Macaca fascicularis: one gene and its partner. The protein of the gene in region 1 purifies or fractionates together with the protein of each later gene. This does not show direct contact. Links are inferred from orthologs where the notes say so. Each region holds a gene or a part of one and is shown in the gene's direction. Other genes may lie near its edges.

The links.
Region 2: the proteins of BIRC3 (region 1) and BCL10 purify together in Homo sapiens (affinity purification with western blotting; 5 studies listed by BioGRID and IntAct, with this or other methods). This does not show direct contact. The link is inferred for Macaca fascicularis from reciprocal best matches to the Homo sapiens genes BIRC3 and BCL10.

What each region holds. Positions count from the first base shown.
Region 1 is NC_088388.1:101,334,365-101,338,192, forward strand, and holds part of BIRC3 (baculoviral IAP repeat-containing protein 3), read left to right. Parts: 5' UTR 1-870; coding exon 871-1,723; intron 1,724-1,825; coding exon 1,826-1,925; intron 1,926-3,828. UniProt on the Homo sapiens protein: Multi-functional protein which regulates not only caspases and apoptosis, but also modulates inflammatory signaling and immunity, mitogenic kinase signaling and cell proliferation, as well as cell invasion and metastasis.
Region 2 is NC_088375.1:149,371,163-149,374,990, forward strand, and holds part of BCL10 (B-cell lymphoma/leukemia 10), read left to right. Parts: intron 1-2,230; coding exon 2,231-2,586; 3' UTR 2,587-3,828. UniProt on the Homo sapiens protein: Plays a key role in both adaptive and innate immune signaling by bridging CARD domain-containing proteins to immune activation.

The sequences.
Region 1 (3,828 bases):
GAGCGTTAGCCAGTCCTGTTATTAGTAAAGCTCTTTATATGGAGAGAAATTTTAGATTGTTTTGTTCTCCTTATTAGAAGGATTGTAGAAAGAAAAATATGACTAATTGGAGAAAAATTTGGGATATACCATATTTCATTGAATTCAAAATGTCTTCAATTGTAAATCATACCATTATTGTATGTACCTCTAAGAAATAAAAGTGCTGCTAATTAAAATATGATATGCCATTAATTATAAAATACTTCTTGATAACAGAAGTTTTAAAATAGCCATCTTAGAATTTAGTGAAATATGGTAATGTATTCTTTTCCTCCTTTGAGGTAGGTGTTATGCTTTTTTTTCCTGGCTACTAAATTTCACAATTTCCAAAAAGCAAAATAAACATATTCTGAATATTTTTACTGTGAAACACTTGAGAGCAGAGCTTTCCACCATGTAAAGAAGCTTCATGAGTCACACATTACATCTTCAGATTGATTGAATGCCACTGAAACATTCTAGTAGCCTGGAGAAGTTGACCTACCTGTGGAGATGCCTGCCATTAACTGGCATCCTGATGGCCTAATACACTTTACTCTTCTGTGAAGGGTTTTAATCTTCAGCACAGCTTACTCTGTAGCATCATGTTTACATTGTATGTATAAAGATTATACAAAGGTGCAATTGTTTATTTCTTCCTTAAAATGTATCAGTATAGGATTTAGAATCTTTCCATGTTGAAACTCTAAATGCATAGAAATAAAAATAATTAAAAATTTTTTCATTTTGGCTTTTCAACCTAGTATTAAAACTAATAAAAGCAAAGCCATGCACAAAACTACCTCCCCAGAGAAAGGCTAGTCCCTTTTCTTCCCCATTCATTTCATCATGAACATAGTAGAAAATAGCATATTCTTATCAAATTTGATGAAAAGTGCCAACACGTTTGAACTGAAATACGACTTGTCATGTGAACTGTACCGAATGTCTACGTATTCTGCTTTTCCTGCTGGGGTTCCTGTCTCAGAAAGGAGTCTTGCTCGCGCTGGTTTCTATTACACTGGTGTGAATGACAAGGTCAAATGCTTCTGTTGCGGCCTGATGCTGGATAACTGGAAAAGAGGAGACAGTCCTGTTGAAAAGCATAAAAAGTTGTATCCTAGCTGCAGATTCGTTCAGAGTCTAAATTCAGTTAACAACTCGGAAGCTACCTCTCAGCCTGCTTTTCCTTCTTCAGTAACAAATTCCACACATTCATTACTTCCGGGTACAGAAAACAGTGGATATTTCAGTGGCTCTTATTCAAGCTTTCCATCAAATCCTGTAAACTCCAGAGCAAATCAAGATTTTTCTGCCTTGATGAGAAGTTCCTACCACTGTGCAATGAATAATGAAAAAGCCAGATTACTTACTTTTCAGACGTGGCCATTGACTTTTCTGTCGCCAACAGATCTGGCAAAAGCAGGCTTTTACTACGTTGGACCTGGAGACAGAGTGGCTTGCTTTGCCTGTGGCGGAAAATTGAGCAACTGGGAACCGAAGGATAATGCAATGTCAGAACACCTGAGACATTTTCCCAAATGCCCATTTATCGAAAATCAGCTTCAAGACACTTCGAGATACACAGTTTCTAATCTGAGCATGCAGACACATGCAGCCCGCTTTAAAACATTCTTTAACTGGCCCTCTAGTGTTCTAGTTAATCCTGAGCAGCTTGCAAGTGCGGGTTTTTATTATGTGGGTAAGAAACTGAATCTGCTAATTTAAAAAAAATACATTTCATTTTATACATTTCAGTGGGCAAATTGTGTGTATTCATGTTTTGGTCCAAAATTAATTTTAGGTAACAGTGATGATGTCAAATGCTTTTGCTGTGATGGTGGACTCAGGTGTTGGGAATCTGGAGATGATCCATGGGTGGAACATGCCAAGTGGTTTCCAAGGTAATTGTTTTGAAATTCTCTTTGCAAATTCTTGTGATTATCATGAGATTGCTTATATGTGTTTACCTTAAATCAGCTGTTACTTTACTCCGTTCCAAATATATATTTGTGAATAAGTTTAGGATGGATTACTTAGCAAAATACTTAAAAAGTTTTGATGGACTTAATGAAGAAATATATTTGGGGATTTTTGTTTAATTTTTAAAGAAATATATATATTTAAATAATACATGCTCATTATAAAAACAAAGTCACACATTGTAGAAAAGTACAGAGAAAGAAAATTAAACTGTCCAGAAATCTTACCACCTGAGGATGAACATGGTTACCATTTTAGTGAACATCGCTCCAGACATAAAGAAATAAATGTATACAATACATATACATATAGAAATAAATATCCATATAGAAATAAATGTACACAATTTTACATAAATTAAATATTCTATTTAGTTTTGAAGTTTTTTTCAGTCAACATATGTCTTGGATATATTTCCATTCATTCAGTATTCAATAACAATTGATCACCTATTGCCAGGCATTGTTCTGGGTGCATAAAATCAGTTGAACAAAACAAAGACCCCTGGTCGCCTAAGTTTGTATTATAGCAGGAGAGAACAGACAATTAATAAAAACTTGAATAAGTTATAGAGCATGTTGGAAAATAAGTACAATCAATAAAAAGAACAAAGAGGGGTTTAGAAATGCCAGGCAGGTTACAATACTAAATCAGGGTAAGTATAGTCTCATCTCATGTGTTTTAATTGCCACACAGCATTTTAATGTGATATGTTACCCTTTTGATTGTTTAACTGGCCGCCTAGCGTTCTAATTAATCCGGATCAGCTTGCAAGTGTGGGTTTTTATCATGTGGGTAAGAAACTTAATGTACAAACTAAAATACCAGCTTCAAAATACTTTTTTCACATTCTCCTTTTTCATCTAAATCATGTGGCCTAAAATTACATTTTTTCATGATCAAAACTTTTGCTATTATTCAGCTCGTTTCCCATTTGCCCTGAGAATACTGCACTGGCGACAAGCTGCACTGTTTTTTTCCAAATGGGGAAATGGGTTAATATTGATTAATAAATGTGGCATCTTAACTTATTTTGATTCCTTTTTTTTCTCTCTTTTTTTTTTTTTTTTTTTTTTGAGATGAAGCCTGGCTCTCTTGCCCAGATTGGAGTGCAGTGGTGTGATCTCAGCTCACTGCAACCTCCGCCGGTTGGGTTCAAGCAATTCTCACGCCTCAGCCTTGCTAGTAGCTGGGACTACAGATATATGCTAGCATGCCCAGCTAATTTTTGTATTCTTAGTAGAGACGGGGGTTCACCATGTTGTGCAGGCTGGTCTCAAACTCCTAACCTCAGGAGTTTGAAGTGCTACCACGCCCAGCCAACATTAGTGTGTTTTCAAGAATCTTAGAAGACTTGAAGAGAGTAGCTAAGAGCTGTGAGGAGAGATGGACTTACTTGACCTCAGTAGACTGAGAGGCTCCTGACCCTTGTCCACTTGAGCCTTGGTAGATTACTAGTAATCGCCTTCCTCTTGCTTATATCAACCTGCCTTTCACTACAATATCTCTGATCATTCTCTGTATGCTAAATGAATAGTAAAGTGATTATATGTATGTTTATACTCATTTGAAATATTTATACTTCACAATATATTAAAAGTAAATTGATTATATGTATGTTTATACTCATTTGAAATATCCAGTCTACAAATGGCTGGATTAGTCCTGCCCAAATTAAGATAAACATTTAGTGCTTTTCAAAATTAGCTGAAGTGGTCGGGTGCAGTGGCTCATGCCTGTAATCCCAGCACTTTGGGAGGCTGAGGCAGGAGGATCGCTTGAGGTCAGGAATTCAAGACCAGTGTGGCAACATGGTAAAACCCC
Region 2 (3,828 bases), on another chromosome or scaffold:
CTTATATGACCTTACTACATTGAAAAAGTGGAATATCTGTCAATATACTGCATTTATATTCATTTAATACCATTTATGGAAAACGTAACTATTATGAAATCCCTGTATACATAAGGATTTGTTTCTAAAGTCAGCAGAATATAAAATTATTCAAGAGTAACCTCTGAAAATACTGTACATCGCACATAAAGAACAGTATTTAGGCAAAGTATTTTAAAAGTCCAACTCTGCTAGTTTTTCTTGTGATCACCAGTTGATCGATCACAAGATGAAGTAATCGGCACTTGTTTATAGGAATCACGTTGCATAAAATATTCGTGACTTGAAACTAGTCTGGCAGGATGTGAAAGCATGGAAACATTAAGAGAATAGCAAATTCACCTGTCCCATTTGACTCTCACTCCAGAATATACACTCATTGATTGGAATATTGTGTGGAATTGCCTACACAATTTAAATCCCCAACCCCCTCCTTTCTCTGTTCCTTGCTGTCTCTCTCTCTCTCTCCAGAACACATAAATGTGCATGTGACGTTCTACAGCTGTTCTAGGCATTAGGGATACAGAAAAGAATAATTTAGGGTTCTGCCCTTAAGGAACTCATAGTCTGTAAGTGTCCCCTTGCTGGGACACATTACAAGTTTTCCCTTTTGAGCCATATCTAAGAAAGTAGTTTCTATAGCATGGAATAGACATGCTGACTGTAAGGTTGAAAAACTAGTGGAAGAAGTGACATGTAAGTGTCCTTTATAGACTATGCAAGTTTTACCTAAAAATTGTCAACTCAGGGTTTCTGTGCCTGTAAGTTGAATATTTGCTAAGCCTAACAGAAGGGTAAATTGTATTTGTGTTTATTCTTTCAATCCTGTGGATAATGGTTAACTATACCCCTTGGATGTGATAAAATTCTTTGATGGTATCTAAGTTGTTTTCTGCTGTAGCAATACCTGAGACTGGGTAACTCATAAAGAAAAGAAATGTATTCATTTCTTACAGTTCTGGAGGCTGGTTAAGTCCAAGTCCATGGTGCCAGCATCTGGCAAGGGTCATCCATGGTGGAAGGGCAGAAGATGGAAGAGTGAGGGAGGGCAAGAGTGTGAAAGGGAAGAAAAAGGAGTCGAACTCCCAAAATAAGTAACCCATTCCCATGATAATGGCATTAGTCCAGGGCAGAGCCCTCATGACCCTGTTGCCTCCCAAAGGCCTCAGCTCCTAACACTGCTGCAGTGGCAACCAAGTTTCCAACATGTGAAATTTTGGCAGATACATTCATACCATAGCTGTTGGGAACAACCACTGTCATTTGAGTAAACTATGAGGTTGAGAAACAGGACATTATCTATTGAATTGTAGTTCTCAATTTCCCACAAAGTAGTCCTGGAATGTTGGACATGACTTAACTGTCCTGTGCCTTTTTTTTTTTCTATTTTTTTTTTTTTTAAAGACCGTCTTGCTCTTGTTGCCCAGGCTGGAGTGCAATGGCACGATCTAGGCTCACTGCAACCTCCACCTCCCAGGTTCAAGCGATTCTCCTGTTTCAGGCTCCAGAGTAGCTGGGATTACAGGCACCTGCCAACACGCCTGGCTAATTTTTGTATTTTTAGTAGAGACGGGGTTTCGCCGTGTTGGCCAGGCTGATCTCGAACTCCTGACCTCATGTTCCGCCCACCTCGGCCTCCCAAAGTGCTGGGATTACAACTGTGAGCCACCATGCTCCGCCCTTTTTTCTCATTTTTAATAATAAGAGACTATCCTAGGTGACCTCTGAAATTCCTTTTAGTTCTAATATCCTATTATTCAAGAACTAGCCATTGCCATTGATCAACAGATAGAATTTTAGCATCTGCCCTGTTTACATTTTGTTTTTATTGGCTAATATTTTTTGTACCAGAATACTAAAGAATATTTATTGTGAAAGCTATTTCTTATTTTATAAAAAATTTTAGATGGTTAAGTTTATATGTACACTGTACCTTAAATAAGAATTATAACATGTCGTTTAACTTCCATGAGACTATTTTCTTATCTAGAAAATGCAAATAATAGTATACTTCATGGTTGTTGAGAAAAGCAAATTAGATTTGAAATAGATTATGACAGAAATTATAAATTGCTATTTAAATTTTGATTGTGGGGTAACTAGCTTGTAATCTTTAACAAGTCACAAGATGGACAGTGACTCCATTTTTTTTAGTTACTTTTTCATTTACATATGAATAATTTTATTGTAGGACTAAAATGTAGCAGCTGTGAACCTTTTCCAGATGGAGCCACGAACAACCTCTCCAGATCAAATTCAAATGAGAGTAATTTCTCTGAAAAACTGAGGGCATCCACTGTCATGTACCATCCAGAAGGAGAATCCAGCACGACGCCCTTTTTTTCCACTAATTCTTCTCTGAATTTGCCTGTTCTAGAAGTAGGCAGAACTGAAAATACCATCTTCTCTTCAACTACACTTCCCAGACCTGGGGACCCAGGGGCTCCTCCTTTGCCGCCAGACCTGCAGTTAGAAGAAGAAGGAACTTGTGGAAACTCTAGTGAGATGTTTCTTCCCTTAAGATCACGTACTGTTTCACGACAATGACACTTTATTGCCTTTTAATTTTTAATGATGACAAAAAATGTTTTAAAAAATATGAATCTTTTTATAAAATGGCTGTAATGATTTGTTTACATTTGATACATGTCTTTTAAAATGCGATGTAAGCATACTTTGTAAATAGGATTTTTAGAATTAAAAAAGCATGCTTTTAAGATAGCTAATTGTAAATCATGTTGATCATGTACTTTTTAGTAATTTCTTTTTTTCCTTTTTAAGGTCTTTCACTATTTTTTAAAATATTTTCTATTTTAAGACTGATTTTAATAGGGAATATATCTCTATTTGAGAATAGACTCTTACTGGGAAGAACATTTTTTCCTCAGTGCATTTGTGCTTGAAATTTTCAGTCTAATAGTCTTTGCCAGTCATTCAGCAGCAAATTTTCAGCATTAAGCTGTTCCTGTTCAGTAATAAAACCAATCACTGATGGGAAAACTGCCAATATAGAAAAATAAAAATAAAAAATCTCTTTTCCACTCCATATAGGCACTTAAACAGCCTTTTTTTGAGACCGGAGGAACACTTGATGGAGTATGAGCCACCTCAGATCTCAGTTTGCCAACATTCATTTCTAATTAACATTACTAATTATACTACTTTGTTAGGATTTTCACATTCTTGGTTTAATCATTTTCATTCTTAAAGACAAATATCTTGGCCTAAACCTCAGTTATTAGATGTAATTTGATGAGGTATTTTTCTCTCTCTTTTTTTTTTTTTTTTTTTGAGACAGAGTCTTGCCCTATCGCCCAGGCTGGAGTGCAGTGGCTTAACCTGGGCTCACTTCTACTTCTGCCTCCCATGCTCACGTGATCCTCCCTCCTCAGCCTCTCAAGTAATATAGCTGGGACTACAAGTGCGTGCCACCATGCCTTACTAATTTTTGTGTTTTTTTATAGAGATGGGGTTTTGCCATGTTGTCCAGGCTGGTCTTGAACTCCTGGGCTCAAGAAATCTACCCAGCTTGGCCTCCCAAAGTCCTGGGATTACAGACTTGAGCCACCTCGCCTAGCCTGATGAGATTTTTAAAAAAATATTTTCTCTGTACTTTTCATTCTCTTTTAATGAGGACCAATGTACAGTTGAAATAACTAGAAAAAATTATTTTTGGTGTGTGTGACAATTCTGTTTTTAATGCTATAAGTGGGCCATTAGCCAGATTTGTCTTTTTGTTATATAACAAAATTTGACTAATTTTACACATTTATAAATCTTATGTTCTCA